Linked DNA regions of Lonchura striata. The protein of the gene in region 2 interacts with the protein of the main gene of each other region in a pairwise test. Links are inferred from orthologs where the notes say so. Each region holds a gene or a part of one and is shown on either strand. Other genes may lie near its edges. The genes, in order: LSMEM1 and LSMEM2.

Evidence for each region.
Region 1: the proteins of LSMEM2 (region 2) and LSMEM1 interact in binary tests that used the Homo sapiens proteins (3 or more experiments, as listed by UniProt). The two-hybrid records come from large-scale screens. The link is inferred for Lonchura striata from reciprocal best matches to the Homo sapiens genes LSMEM2 and LSMEM1.

What each region holds. Positions count from the first base shown.
Region 1 is NC_134607.1:36,457,789-36,465,813, forward strand, and holds the start of LSMEM1 (leucine-rich single-pass membrane protein 1), read right to left. Parts: upstream 3,001-8,025; 5' UTR 2,869-3,000; intron 519-2,868; 5' UTR 514-518; coding exon 387-513; intron 1-386. Other genes in the region: IFRD1 (interferon-related developmental regulator 1), read right to left, coding at 5,632-5,721, 6,465-6,560, 7,533-7,661.
Region 2 is NC_134614.1:10,327,984-10,335,778, reverse strand, and holds LSMEM2 (leucine-rich single-pass membrane protein 2), read left to right. Parts: upstream 1-5,112; coding exon 5,113-5,134; intron 5,135-6,322; coding exon 6,323-6,463; intron 6,464-6,543; coding exon 6,544-6,753; intron 6,754-6,838; coding exon 6,839-6,975; 3' UTR 6,976-7,290; downstream 7,291-7,795. Other genes in the region: HYAL3 (hyaluronidase-3), read left to right, coding at 3,028-3,924, 4,022-4,111, 4,242-4,595.

The DNA.
Region 1 (8,025 bases), on a different chromosome or scaffold from region 2:
TCTCAGGTGCCTCTATTGCCACATATGAATTTTAGTGCTTGGGAAGAGCTATGATGCTATTTGTTTAGTTGGTGTATATTGGGCATTACTAGAGACATTATCCTGCAAGAAATCACCTCATAAATCCCAACTGAAATGGAAGATAAGTTCAGGTTTCAAAGTAAATCCCTAACTAAATGCAAGGATTTTCAAGAACCTAAAGCAGAAACACTCAGCAGGGACAGCTAAATCATTATCTGATCTGCCTAAATCATGCCATTTTCAATTTTTTTCTTATATTTTTCAGTACAGCTTGGCATACCTGTTGGCCTATTAGGCTGTTGACAGCAGTGGCACACAATATGGATTGTATATTTAGAAATCCACAGATCACTTATCATACATACCTAGTGAAAGTTGGGATTCAGCTGGGCAAACATTTAGTTTGTTTAGGTTGTTTAGGGAATCAACTACATAAAGTTTTCCTTCTTCATGAGTATCAGGCAGGTTAAATTCCAAGGAAGGTCTCTCCATTGTCTCTAAAAGAAACAATAATTTAAAAGGTAAATTAACACACAGCTGTGGGAAATAACTTGTAACAGTAGGTATCCTGTTCTAAGGAAATACTGAGCAGCCCAAACGGTCCTTAAAACACAGAGATTTGGACCAGCACACTTACTTGAAGGCATAGCACTTGTTCATTCTTGGAAATCTTCAATGATTAAAACATTTCATTTTTACATTGTGTTTGTGCACATACGTGTGTGTGTGGGGAAAGAAAGAGTCAATTTGACTGGCTCCAGCATTGACTTGAATGGTACATATTTAGTATATTATCCTTTGATTTGATGAATACTTGGTAAGACGTGTTGTGAGATCCTGACCACAGTGAAAATCAAACCTTCACTAACACTTCCAGAAAGGATGTCACTCAGGTTCTCTTCTTTCAGCATCAAGTAATTGGAAGATAAACCAGAAGCAACAAGAGTATGTGTCTGTTTATACACCTTAGAATATCACTGTGAAGCTATTATTTGTGAAAAATGTGGTCACACTTTTCACAAATTTTAAAAGCTTTTTCTTCAGACTAGTACCCATTGCTTTAAAAAAGGCACTAGATTAAGTTTAATTAGTAAAAAGTTTCTCTGCAGAGTCTGGGTGCATGAACTCAGTGAATGATTCTTAACATAAATACAGTTTTGAAACAAGATTATATATAGAAAATAAGCAGTATCTAGGGAGGCAGCTTCTATATATTGCACATTGTTCCCTGTCTTTTGCTTTTCTTTACACTGCTCTGATTGCAAAATTATCTTCTAGAAACAAATTACACTTCTAGCCATAAGAAGATTTAGACACTCTAAGTAGGCATGTTTGTCTACAATTGTCACTGAAAACTCCCCTTGTAATTATTGAAGAAAAAAATATTCCTCTAGGTAATATCCCTTTTATTCTAAGATATTCCTTTCTCACCTTAGAATCACAGCCTAAATGTGCTTTTATTGCTAGTGAATGTAAGTAGGGAGCCCTGACACATTAGTTTAAATTTGGAGTACAATGCATCTTACCCATTTAGTATTTTATAAAGCCCCCAAGTTCAATTTTATCTGCCAACATAAATCAGCACTTTGTGGGATGCAAACCTCCCTTGATGACGTGTTAAGCACCTAAGGGTGATTTTTGAATCCTAGATGGGTTAACTGTCCTCTTGACATGACATGCTTCTGAGCCTTTTCTTCCTCTCCAAGGAATACAGAACACAGTGTGACCAGATTCCTAATAAAACACTAAAATTAAAAACCTAAAATTTGAACCGTTTGCAGAAAATCCTCACTCCTTCCCTCATCAAACCAAATGCAGAAGATCACTATATTTCCCCCAGATCTGAGCACACTGCAAAGCAGACATTCAATCAACCTCAGTAAGTCTGAAGACTAAGCACTGAAAGCAATACTGACAACAAGGCTTGTTCTCCTGCTAGTAGAGACTGGCAAGACTATATGGATACTTAAATATTTCTTTTTAACAGCCCATAAGAAAAGATTACAACTTACTTTTTTCTCTGTTCAGAAGCATTGCTTCAAAGTACAAAGAAAATGTAGAAAAGCTGGCATGACAGGGGTTAACCTTACCTAGTCTGTGATTTTTAGGTGTGCAACAGGAACTTCAGGACAGATAGTTGTGCCCACGGTCCTTCCCTTAGAGCAGGACATAGCACTAGGCAGCCCAGTCTGTGAGCCACGTCCCACCAGAGCTGGCTCTGCTCTGCTGTCTCCCCACATGCACATCCTCAGGCAACACAGTCACTGTGGAGCCCTGTGTTTGAACTGCATGCCAAAAGTAACCGCTTCATGCACAAAGGCTGTTGGTTATTTTTAGATTCAGAAGAGCAGTTGTTTCTCTGTTTTGATTAACACCTCCCTGCAGCTTCAGGGAACACTTCTTAACTACTTGAGCTGCAATAAATGTGAGTACCTTTGATTCATTAGTATTATGAATTCTATGTTTCTGCACTTATTATTTATTTGCACATGTAAACACAGTGAAGATTACCATTATTAATTCAAAATAGTTTATATTACATTTGTTTGATTCTATTGACATGCCAAAGGAGAAAGGATACAAACATGTGTCACTGGACAAAAGTATTGATTATTTTCCCAACAAAGCAATATAAACATTGGGACCTTTGGATTCAGTTTATCTTGTACTTTAACCTTACCTAAAGACTTTTTTCCCCAATGCAACTTTTAAATTTCATCCTAAGTCATTGTGGAAAAAAAAAAAAAACTTAGAATAAGAACACATTGAAAATTCTTCACAGGAAAAAAAAAAAAAAGTAAATGAAATATAAAAGGTTAAAAAATATGAGAATGAAACATAACTTACAACATAATTACATTCAAGTAATGTGCCAGTATGGAAGAAATCAGCCAGTGAAAATCACATGAAGAAAACTTGTTCTGCAGTTCCTCTACTTTTAGTCCCATAGGAGCCTGTCAAGTCCTGCAGTACCCATAAAGATAGCTGTGAAACAGACTGCCCCTCTCAGTCTATATTTAGAATTCATCTTGGCTAAGTATACTCACTTTGTAATATTGATCTGCTAAAACAGAAATCAGCACATACACAGCTCTTCTTTATTATATTGGAATCATGATAATATTCCATCATGAATAATGAGGGTTGTTACTGATGATCAGTATTTCACTAATCTTTTGGTTAGTGCCAAACCTCTTAGGTTTAGTGCTTGTCTAAAATGCATTTGCTAGGCAGAAGAGTAGTATCTACAACTGTAGCCATGAGTAACCAGTTTGCTATGCAGAAGAGTCATATCTACAGTATTGCAGTCATGAGGGTTTTAAAGTCATAGACTAGAAAAAGCAGGGTTGTTCCCGTTCTCCCATACACTTTATGAATTCAAGTGGGACAGTATTATGTGGTGGACTAATTTGTCTGGCATCCTTAGCTGTTCAAAGATTAAATTCTGATGAACTGGTGGTGAGTAGCGTAATTACTCCTTTGCTGACAGTTCTTTCGATCTTTTTTTTACTTGCTGACATGGCAGAAGGCAGTGTTACAGCACACTGTATTGATAGGCAGCTGACAGGCAGGACTGCAGCTCAAAACCACAAATCCTTTCTGAAGCTATACCACATCTAAAATTCTGAATCCCTTTAAATTGCCCATAAACGTATTTCTTTCTCAGGAAACAAGAGAATAAATCACCTGACTCATATTTCCCACCCTAAGCTGACATGTTCTGCTGCTCAGAATTGCTCCCTTTCTGTAGGAGTCTCCTGGAAGTCCTCCATCAAAATAAGGATGTACAAGCTAGAAAAAAAAAAAAAAATCAGTATGATATCCATGCCCAAAAAACTCCTAACACCAAAATAATTTTAAGACAAGGACCCAGGCCTCTCCAGTTGAAAACATCTGCAAACCCAAGGGATGTCTGCAGGGCTGCAGAAGAGCCACCTCTGCAACAGGACTAGAAGCCACACAGGTCACTGCAGCTGGCAGTTACAGTGTACAGGGAAAAGGGCAACCACCTGCTTGGCCCTGCCAGGGGGTGCTGCAGAACACTGGACATGAAGCCTGTGCTTGGCAAAGGACACCAAAGGTGACCAGGCAGAAGGCACAGGAGACACCAACAGGCTCAAGGGAACAGTTTAGCTCCAAGGGAATGGCCTTGGGCCAGGCAAGTACAGGCACACACAGCTTCACCTCATTCAAGGATGTTTTTTCTCCACCTGCATGACACTGATGTGCTCAATCATCATAGATTTCAGTTCAAGGTTTTGCATAGTCCAAATGATCTGTTTTGCAAGCCAAACAAGTTCTTACATAGATTATTTGAGGGGTAAAAAAAAAAGAGATTAAATTAGAAAGTACAACTTACTAGTATTCATTGACTTTCTGGAATAGGTTCAGCTGTAATCAGAAACTTGGAGGGGAAAAAAAAACCAAAACAACTACTCCACCCCAAACCCAACTTTCTCTTATCAGAGCAGGCCAGTTTTCAGGGGGCGGTGCTGTTTTTAATGCCATGTTTACATCATCTGGTGACAAACATTTTTAAGGTGGTTTATTCAAACAAGCACTTTTTTCTTCAGGTTCAGAAGCTCCACTGATATAGGTTTTAGTGTCTTTATTACATAACACCCCCTGCCCCAAGTAGCTAAGACAGTTCTCAGCTACTAACACATTTCAGTCCTGTAGAACCAGAAGAGTAGTTCCCAACATAATGAACACAGGGAATGGGTCTAAAATAAAGGAGAATATGTTTTACAGCACCAAAACTAGAAAGCTTTTGACCATTAGAGAAGCAATGACAAATCAAGATTAGGCAGCTGTGCAGACCACATGCAAGAAGAAGACACCTTTGAAACACAGCAAGGTAGACTTGCACATGGCATCTACTAAAACAGATAATACCCCAAACACATGTCTGAACCAGAAAATAAACAAACTCATCCCTTTCATATTTTAAGTTTTGCCAGTGTTACTGCTTTTCATTCATGGAATAATTACTTTTACACAGAGAGCAGGCAGTGAGAAACATCTTTATTCCAAAAATTAAATATTCAATTTCAGAACACAAAAATCTTGCTTTTATTTTACATGGAGACAAATATTTGTCATTCACTACTTCACTGTCAGTGGAAGTTCCTGAACTTCATAGTCCCTGTCAGGATAAAATTACACTTACATAGGGATTTCTTGTCTACCATCAGAGAGTTTTAAAAAATTACTAAAATAAACTTCACAGAAACATGGTCATCTTATCCTATTAGCACATTCTTACCAGAACACTTGGTCAATGAATTACTTTACCTTTATATAAAGAATCCAATCTGACACACAGCATTTGACTACAGTTATCCACCCCATTTAATATAGCAGTTACAACATAATCGACCTTTGAGCTAGTGGGGGGCTAATGTATGGTATTATAATGTATCCCTGCACCAAATGTTACATCCATCTATATACAATGTACACGCACCTAAGCAACAATATGCGTTATATTTAGAGACTATGTAACAAACCCGTGCACAACTACAAACTGACTACAGAAGTTAAAAAAATTCATTTAAATGTTACAAATTTATTTGAATTATGAAAATTGAAACCCAATGAAGAGGGAATCTAAAAAAATTCCCCCACATCTGCTCTTTTATCACGACATTTACTTCTAGCCTTTGTCCGAGCCTTGAATGCTGCAGAGTTGTACAAGTGCTACAAAACAAAAAAAAAAGAAAAAAGAATTACATATTATCATAAAGCTTATGCCCTTCAGAGATTTTTCATGTTACAAAACAAATGAAAATACCCTTTCATTAATTTGACTTGAACTGGTAGGTCTTCTGAAATTTATGGTATGTTATCTTTCCACCAAAGGCTAATTTGTGTGTGTGTATATAAATATGGACAGACATATTTAATTTATATTTACAGATACTGGCCTGAATAAGAAAGGCTGAACTATGAGTAGTTCTGGAAGCCAGTCTTTAAGATCAAGCAGATACCATGTAGGTTACATTTACTCCCAGATTAAATTTGACAGCACCATTCCCCAGATTATATGCAGGATTAATGCATTCACAATCAACAGAACAAGGCCAACCTCCTAGTGCCCATTTCACATTACAGAGTTTGGGATACCATCTTTATAAAGACTCAGTTTCCTGTAGGTCCCTCCCCAAGAGCTCTCAGAAGAGACCAAGTTTCATATGTGTGGTGCATGAATCTAGTACCCAGCAGCAACCACATCAACCTTCAGCAACCCTTGGAAAAAACACACAAGCAGAGACATGCCCACTGAAAAATCTAAGAGCTCATAGGTGCATACAAAAAAAGCTTGGTTTCACTCAGGACAATATGAGGAACTCTTAGAACTACAGCGCAACAATGACAGCTTCTGAAAGGCAGGAGTAATTAGACATGAAGTAAAGAAAATTCATTAAGATGCAATAACCTACCCTTTCAAAACGGGATATCTTCATTGTTTTAAGAGTTGCAGCATCCAGCATTACTGGTGGACCAAGCTCAAACACATTCCGAAGAAAGTCATTTGACTAAACAAGAAACACACCAAATTATTAGTTTCCCCTCTAATTATCAAGTCTCTAAAGTTGACTACTGTAAAATATCAAGTATTCCAGTAAAAAATACCAAGATTTGTGTCAAATTGCTGCTATCTTTTGCAAGTAAGTCAAGAACATGTCCTCCTTTAACTAGAATAGGGCTAAAAGCGAAAACAGACACCTTGAGAAGATAGACAGCTCCTCATGCCTCCTTTGATATTTTTGACCCAGCAAATGAGACACTGTTCTGTTCTACACAAAATCAGGCAGCTGAACAGACCTGTATGGTTTCACAACACACCAGTTTTAAAATATCTGGCTGTGAAAGTAGTACTTGAGAAAACTGAAAAACCTGCTACATGCCTGAGCTCCCTCAGTCACACAGAAATTGAATTAACACAGGGCTGAAGATTTTAACCCCATGATTATCACAGCAATTTGGGAGCATATATTCCTAAACTACAGCTCCTGCTTCTGTTACACATGTAAAGAGAAGACCAGTAAACAAGCATTTCCCACAACAGAGGAAGATGCATTCTGCCTCCTCTGGAATGCTGTCACCATTGGGTTGTGTTCATTATTTTTTACTAAAACTTTCCCTTTCTTTTACAGGCCTGAACAGGAAGGGTGGAGGTAAGCAGCTTTATAGCAGCCAGACAACTATACCACTCTGCTGAAAGAGAGCAAAGGATTCAGGGAAAACCCCAAAGCTAAAAAGATACTCAAATTTCTTATGGAGAAATCAATTAGTACACTAGCACACCCAGGCTACAACTCAGAAGCAGCTTACCCAGACAGCTGCAGCTCACTGTCATTAATTTTTTAAGTGCTGTCTTTAACACCTTAAATGCAAGGCTCATCACTTCACTAAGTTCGAGTCAGGATTTTGTAATTCAGACTGGATTACATCAAAGAAGCCAGACACAGAGGAACAGTCTGAGCAAATGTCAAAAAGCAACTCACCTGCAAATGGTATTGCATCCCCGACCCCAGAACCTCCTTGAACGTCTCATAAGTTTGTTTTTTAACCCAGCAGTCAATATACATGCGCTCAGGTCCAAACTTCACCATCTCTGTAGGGAAGTCACGCTCCTATGCAAGAATCAAAGGAAACAACACCTGTAACTTCAATTTAAATAGTCTTTTGTACTAGTAATTTTAAACATCTCAATGAACTTTATTTTGACTGATAAATTTGGCACACCAAAACCTTCCAAATAACAAAGTATACATATGCTAAAGATTGTATTTGTTCATAGAGCAGATGCATACTTACAGTCAAATTTCACATAGAACTTGAAGCTGATATTCTTCATGATTACAAAGCTTTTTAAAAAACAGTCAACTTTCATCTTTAAAATTACTTTAAGAACTGGATTTATCTTCAGGAAAACCAGTTCTGAGTGCAGAAGTCACCTTTAAGTCAGACTGTAAGCCTCATTTAGTCTCTACCTTA
Region 2 (7,795 bases):
GTGATGCCGTTTCAGTGTCTGTGGTTTGGAGCAGTCGGGGTGCAGGCAGGGTGAGTGCCCTGTGTGGGGGTGCAGTGTGGGAAGTGGGGGTGATGTGTGGGGCCCTGGACAGACGTGTCATTCACACCGGGGAAGCAGAACCAGGCGCTGTGGTTGGTCATGAGCCTGGGCTGCTTCCTGCTGCGCTGGCACCCGGAGCAAAGGAGCCAGCAGCAGCGGGCAGGGTGAGTGTGAGCAGGGTGGGCGTGAGCAGGGTGAGGTGTGAGCAGGGCGGGTGTGAACAGTGACTGAGCAGGGTGACTGTGGGCAGGGTGAGTGCAGACAGGATGGGTGGGTGAAGGCAGGGCGAGTGCAGGCAGGTGGATGGCAGGCAGATGCTGTTGGAGTCTGGCGTGGCTTTGCTGGGCAGACAGAAGGAAACCATCAGGAGTGCTGGTGGGATGTGGCCTCTGAAAGGGACAGTGCCGGCTGAGCTGTGAGTCAGTTGTCTTGGAGCTAGGGGGGTGACCCCACCATGCCTCCTGGGTGTGGGAGGGCAGACTCGAGCCCTCCCCAACTGCCTTAGGGGAACTGTAGCAGTTTGCTCAATCCTAGTTAATCAACCGGCGTGGTGGTTTCTCCTGCCTTCTGCCTGTGGCTTCTCCTTTGCAATAAGAACTGCCAGGCTGAGAGAGGGGGTTTTCTGACCCCTCAGAGGCTATTTGGGTTTCTCAGAAGCATGACTCTGAGGACATGTGTGATGAGCTAGCTAGTCTGATGGGTGCCAAAGTGGCAGGAGCTACTGGCAGGGGCTGGGGAGGAGGCACTGTGCCTCCTGCCCCTCAGCTGATTTGGCAGTGTAGACCTTTCTGCAGGTCTCATGGCATGATTTCCTGGAGCTGGCACCATCTGCCATTTCCCTGCCATGAATCTCTTGTTTGACCTTGGACCTGCCAAACCTCCATGAACTCATCTGGCTGTGCCAGAGGGGAACTGCGCCTGTGCTGGGGCCAGTGGCGGGCTGGGGAGAACACACGCATGGTCTGTGCCTTACTACCTCTAAGCTGTGACCTGCTTGGTTTCCCGTCAGTGAGAAGAATGGGTTCTGTGTCAGAGGAGCTCAGCTTGGTCCCCTTGCACCAGAGGCCGGAGCTGCTGGAAGCCTGTGCCAAGCTGCTGGGCGAGGAGTGGGGGAAGAGCCGGGCGTCGCGGCTCCACACGCTCCAGCGCTCCTCGGACGCCTTCCCCACCTGCCTGCTGCTGCTGCGGAGCCGGGCCCCCAGCGAGACCCCCGCCGCCCGGGAGGGGCCCTGCGAGCTCGTGGGCCACGTCCGACTCTCCCGCGTGGTCAGCCGTCCCCACGACCTCTTCGTGGAGAGCGTGGTGGTGGCCCGGGCGCTGCGGGGCCAGGGCTATGGGCGGCGGCTGATGGAGGCCACTGAGCAGTGGGCCCGGAACCGGGGCTTTCGCTGCCTGCACCTCACCACCCACGACAAGCAGCATTTCTATGCCCACCTGGGCTTTGTCCTGGGTGAGCCGGTGCAGAACGTGGCCTTTCTCAGCCCGGCTATATCCTCTGAGGTGCTGCGGCTCTTCTCTGCCCCTTCTGGGGCTGCCACTGCCCCCTCCAGCAGGCCATGGGTACCCGCTGCCCCCCCACCTCCCCCGCCGCCCCTCACTGTCCCCCCACCGCCTCCCCCACCGACTGTGATCTGGGCGAGGGGTGTCCTGGCTGAGAGCAGCGAGCAGAGCCTCCTGGAATCCCCACACCGCGATGCCAAAGGGCTCCCCATCTTCTGGATGAAGAAGGACATCTGAGGGTCTGGGGCCCCGAGCCGGTGATTAAAAGCAGTGCGGGCGGGAGGTGCCCGCCGCAGCGCTGCCTGACTGCCTGCCATTCTTCAGGGCTGGCACCAGCTCCCCCAGTCTACATGGTTCACCCTGGCCCCATTGTTGGGGCAGGGGGGTACTGGCAGGGAATGAGCAGAGTTCCCATACCCTGTCCTACTTGGGCATGCTGCCTCTGCTCCTGCCTGGCCTCCAGCTCACCTGGCTGGGGCTCTGGGACCACCAGCATGGTGGGGAGCCGGCCCACCCCAGGCTGTGGGGATGGCACTAGTCCTCAGGAGCACCGCCCAGTCCCACCAGTGTCTCCTCTACTCAGGATTTGCTGTGTGTCACCTGGGGCTGATGGAACGTGGTGGCCTCCAACATGCCCACAGCTGCTCTCACTGAGCAGTCTGGGGAAACTGAGGCACAGGATGGCTGGGGGGGCACTGTGGGAGTAGGGCATGGTGGTGGGGCTGCAGAATCAAGTCCCCTGCACTGCACAGTGAAGGGGGCAGGTGGCCAAACCCCCACTAAGGCACCGGCGTCAGTGAAGGCCAGAGGCATGGGAGCAGGAAGGTCAGAGAGAGCGTCCAGTCTCACAGTGAGGGATTAGCACTGTCCTTGCTGTATCACGCGGCCCTGGGCCTGTTCCCTGCCTAATCCCCTCATTCTGGGCAGTGGGCCAGTACTGGGCAGGGGCTCCAGACCCCTCTGGGCCTGCCTGGGCTGTGAGGGACAGAGCTGCCCCTTTGGCCCCACCATGCCTCTTCGGGGGGACTCAATCCTTCAGCAGGTCACCCAGCCTGGCTCAGCACTGTGCTGAAGTGGGGACCAGGGAGTCTTGGTGCCTCCACTACAGGCAGGACTGGGAGGCAGCAGGGAAATTGAGGCACCAGGGTCAGTGGCATGCAGTGCCACTCCCGAGCTGTGCCATGGCTGTGGTGGTGCAAGCAGGATCTCAGCACCAGAGAGCAGCAGGCAGAGGTAACAGTGGCAGTGCTGAGGCAGTAGGGGTCTCAATCCCCCAAGTGTACCCAATTCTGTCAGGTTTTGGGGTGGGCAGCATGTGCTTGCAGGACAGCCCAGCCAATCCTAGTCCACCATGTGCCAGGGGGGCAGTGCCTGCATTGCTGGAATGCCCACTGCATCCCACAGCCTCACCCCATGGCTCTCCTTTCCTCACAGGGTGCCGGCCCCGCAAACAACTGGTGAGGCGGGATGGTGCTGGTGCTGGCGCTGTGGTCCTGCCTGGCACTGGGCACAGCCAGTGAGGAGAGCCCGGCACCCAAGCCCCTGGCAGGTGGCCAGCCCTTTGCCGTGGTGTGGAACGTCCCCACCGGGCGCTGCCAGCACCGCTTTGGCATAGGGCTGCCCCTCAGCGACTACGGCATCGTGGAGAACCAGGGTGGCCACTTTGCTGGCCAGAACATCACCATCTTCTACAAGAACAAGTTTGGGCTGTACCCCTACCTGTCACAGCACGGTGTGCCCCATAACGGGGGCCTCCCTCAGCGTGTCTCCCTCGACGCCCACATCAACAGGGTGGCCGAGGACATCCGCCTCCTCCTGCGACCCGCTTTCCATGGCTTGGCCGTGGTGGACTGGGAGGAGTGGAGCCCTCTGTGGGCACAAAACTGGGGAGCCAAAAAGATGTACCGGACAGCCTCAGAGCAGTGGGTGCGGGACCAGTACGGCGTGCTGCCGGCACGGCAGCAGCTCCGACTGGCCCAGCTGGAGTTCGAGCAGGCGGCACAGGCTCTGATGGAGGAGACGCTTCTGGTGGGCCGAGCCCTGCGCCCTGGAGGGCTCTGGGGTTTCTACCGCTTTCCCGACTGCCTCAACAGCAACTGGGCCAAGGTGGCAAACTACACCGGGCAGTGCCAGCCGGCGGAGGTGCAGCGTAACAACCACCTGGGCTGGCTCTGGGCTGCCTCTTCTGCCCTCTACCCCAGCATCTACCTGCCGCTGGCGCTGCCGCCCGCCCTGCGCCGCCGCTACGTGCACCACCGGCTGCGCGAGGCCCTGCGCGTGGCCGCCTTCGGGCCCGACGGCCTCCTGCCCGTGGTCGCCTACTCGCGCCTCGCCTTCCGCCGCTCCTCCCGGTTCCTGCACCTGGTAAGCGCTGTGGGGCCGCGGCTGCGATGCGGGGTTCTGGGTGGCACGGGGACAGAGGCTGTGTCCCCCAGACGGGTCACGTCTCTGTTCCTGGCAGGCTGACCTGGTGCACACCATCGGGGAGAGCGCGGCACTGGGAGCGGCCGGGCTGGTGCTCTGGGGAGACATGTCGTACTCCCGCTCAGCTGTGAGTATGGCAGCACTGCAGGCAGCAGGAGATGGTGTGTGTACAGGGTGGCCATATCCCCCGTGCCCACCAGGGAGGGCTGGCCAGGTCTCTGTTGCTGGGGGGCTTCTCACTCATGCTTCCTCCCCAGGAAAGCTGTGCCAGCCTGCGCCACTACCTCGTATCCACTCTGGGTCCCTACGTGGCCAACGTGACGGCAGCAGCCCGAGAATGCAGCTACGGGCAGTGCCATGGACACGGGCGCTGCGTGCGCCGGCAGCCCCACGACCTGGGCAGCCTCCTGCACCTTGGCCCCGGTGCCGGCCCACGGGCTGCCTTCCGCTGCCACTGCTACCGTGGCTGGGCAGGTGAAGACTGTGCCCAGCGGGTATGGCACAGCCCTGCCACCTCCTGCCAGGTGCCCATCCACGCTCACAGCCTCTATGGGCACAAGGATCCCACATCCTCTGACACCTGCCTGCCACAGGGCACGTGGGGCTGGTGACAAAGGCCAGGGACCGCCATGGTCCCCTACTCCAGCAGTGCTGCTGCTGGCTTTCCCTATGGTCTCATTAACCTAAATAAATTCTCCTGGCACAGCGGGCATGGTTTTTGTGTGCAAAGCTGAAGGATTCTGTGGTGTCCCTATGCAGGGCACAATTGCCATTGCTGCTGAGAGACAGCACAGACCCCAGTTTGGCTCTGGATGGGGCCAGCAGTGCATCAGCTTTCCTGCATGGGCTCTGCCCTGATCCCATGAGCTGGCAGCCCCTTTACTCTGGGAAAGGGGACGTGGGGCACTGCCACAACCTGCTGTCCCTTTGCCACTGGCACCGTGCTGCCAGCAGCCCTGACCACGCCACCAGGCCCCCCTCCCCATAGCTATTTTTATCGCCCCCCAACCGTGTTTCTCACTGTCCTATTTTAAGCAGCGCAGTTGGCGCAGCGGGAACCCAGTGCCCAGCTCCTGGGGGCCCTGCACCACCTCACTGCCCGCTCACACTGCCCAGGCACGGGGAGCCATGCCCAGGGAGGCTGCAGAAGGTACACTGGGGAGTGGGCTTGGGGCTGGTGGTGGCTCTAGCACCCCAGGGGATACCAGGTGATGCAAGGCTTTGGGGTTGGGATGGAAGTAGTGGACAGATGGTGCCCTCTGCCATGGGGTCTGTGGGCAGAGATGCCTGCCCAGGGAAGAAGGGGGTCCTGGAAGGCTGCAGGTGTAGGGCAGCAGGGTTTGGGAGGGCACTGGCAGCTGGCACGTACAGACCCCTGCGCCAAACCTATGTGACCAGCTGTGCCCCCCCACCTAGGGCAAGTGGGTGCAGGGGGTGATGTGGGTACCTGTGGAGCAGTCCCTGGCCAAAGGTAGGGGTGTGGGGAAGGTCTGAGGGGTCTGAGGGGACCCTGGGTACCAGCTGAGGCCCCCAGCCCTGGTGCCTGCCAGCCCTGTGGGTGACACACAGTCTGGACAGCAGCAGCACGGCGCCACGCTGCCCTGCGACATGCCACTGACCCCGGGAGGGATTGGGAGTGGGCACAGTGCCAGCCTGCCATGCTCTGCCAAGGGCACAGTGCGTGGGCCCTGCCCACTGCTCAAAAATACACAAACACCTAGAAAATAATCTTTTCCCTCAAACCCAATGCAGGCATGGTTGCTTCCCAAAACAGTGCTGGAGCATGCCTACTTCCAAAAAGCCCTCCCAGTCCCATGTGACGTGCTCACTAGGGCAATGGGCACTAGGGCCCCCTGGCACAGCATACACCCCACATCTACATCTGTGCACCCCCAAGCAGCATGGTATCTGCAGGGCAAGCTGGGCCACACCACAAACTGGCACTGCTCTGCACCTGCCCACCAGCTTCCAGCTGGCCCTTGGAGCCCCAGTCAGTCCCACAGTGCCTGGGCTATCCCGGCTGGGGGGTGGCACATTCCTGCCCCCAAGCCAGGGCCAGATTCCAGCCCCACTAACAAGGCTCCGGGATCGTGGCCACCAGGCACCCGCTAACTGCTCTGATGACAGCAGTGGGGCCAGGGGGGGCACAGCCAGCGCTTGCCCACTGTGGCTGCAGGGCTGGCCCAAAGGAACACCAGTCTTGGCTGCCTGCCCTGGTGCAGCACCAGGCTGCCAAGGCTGACATCCCCCTGGCAGGGCTCTGGTGCCACAGGGGTGCCCAGGGCAGGCAGGGGCTGTGGGCAGGGCACAGGCTGACCCTTTGCCTCTGTTCCAGCAGACGGCGTGGGAAGGGCTGAGGGTGCTGCGCCGGCAGAGCCTGGGGACCCCGACAGCAGTGAGTCCGGAGCCATCAGCCTGCGCCCCGTGGAGTCCATCAGCGACCTGTACTGGGCCTCGGGCGGGCACAAGGGCACAGAGGGTGAGAGCACTGCAGGGGGCTGTGCAAGACCCAGCTGTGCCTGTGGCCAGGCTCTGACCCCTTCTCTCCCCTGCCTGCAGGCAATGGCCCGGCTCCCTCCAGCAGCCTGCACCGGCCTCCACCTCGGCCCGTGTCACCTGTGTCCCCGCCGCTCCTGCCCACCCTGCGCCCCGTGCCCCCCGCCAGCCCCTGCCCTTGCCTCGGCCCTGGCCACCCCCTGCTGCTGGCCCTGCTGGCGCTCCTGGCACTGTCAAGCCTGATCCTGGCCACACTGGCCATCTACCTGAGCGGTACGTGGCACTGGCAGGGTGGGGAGATGGGGCATTGTGGGGGCCCGACCTGCCACCTCAGCACGCTGCCATCCTCTCCCCGCAGTCCTGCAGAGCCAGTCGGTGCGGGCGCTGGCCCAGTGGCTCGAGAGCCAGGAGGACGCCGTGCACCAGCTGCGGGCAGCCAGCAGGCAGCTCTGGGCTCGCCTCAACACCAGCGCCCAGCCTGGCGGGCACCGCTGAGCTGCTCCTGCTCCCACCATGGGCTCTGGGCCGCCACGGGAAGGGGCACCGAAGGGCAGGAGGGGGGAGCAGGCAGCTTTACCCACAGAGACTTGGCAGCATTGCCCCTTGGGGCACAGGGGCAATCCTGGACCCTGTCCCACAATGCCAGAGAAAGAAACTGGGCTGTAAGGACCTGCATCCGCCCCAGTGACAGCCCTTCCTCTTAACAAGGCAGAAGGCATACTTTATTTAGCCTTTTAATTACCTCTTACAATCAAAGTCTTAGAAAATCACCATGATAGATACATTCCCAGGGTGGCAGGCACTGCCAACTGGCATGGCCCCATGCCCGCCTGGGCAGTGGCCCCCCCCATAATTAATTTCCCACAAGATTACTATTTCATATAAAGCATTTGGCTGGAAAAGGGCTGAGAGTGGGCAGCTGGCAGGACTGGGCAGAGCTTCCCACTCCACAGTGCTGTCACCATCACGATGCCAGGCTGGCTAGGGAGGTAGGGGCTGTACCCAGCATGGCAAGGTGGGGAGAATGCTCCTGCCACAGCACAGACACCAGGACCAGCTACTCTGCTGCCCTGCACAGCTCTGCCCTCCCACCCACCCTTCAGACTGTGCCAGGCCACCCTGGTGCCGCTGCAGGACTGGGGAGGGTGCACACGAGCCCTGCCTCTGAAAGGATCTGCAGAAGCTTGGGTGAGACCCCCTCCCACTGTGCCACATGGATCCCCAGCCACAGAGCAGGCACACGGCATCACGCCACCACCTCCCCCTGCTCTTCTTTTATCCTTCCTATTTTTTGGTTAAAAAAATAAAAGAGGGG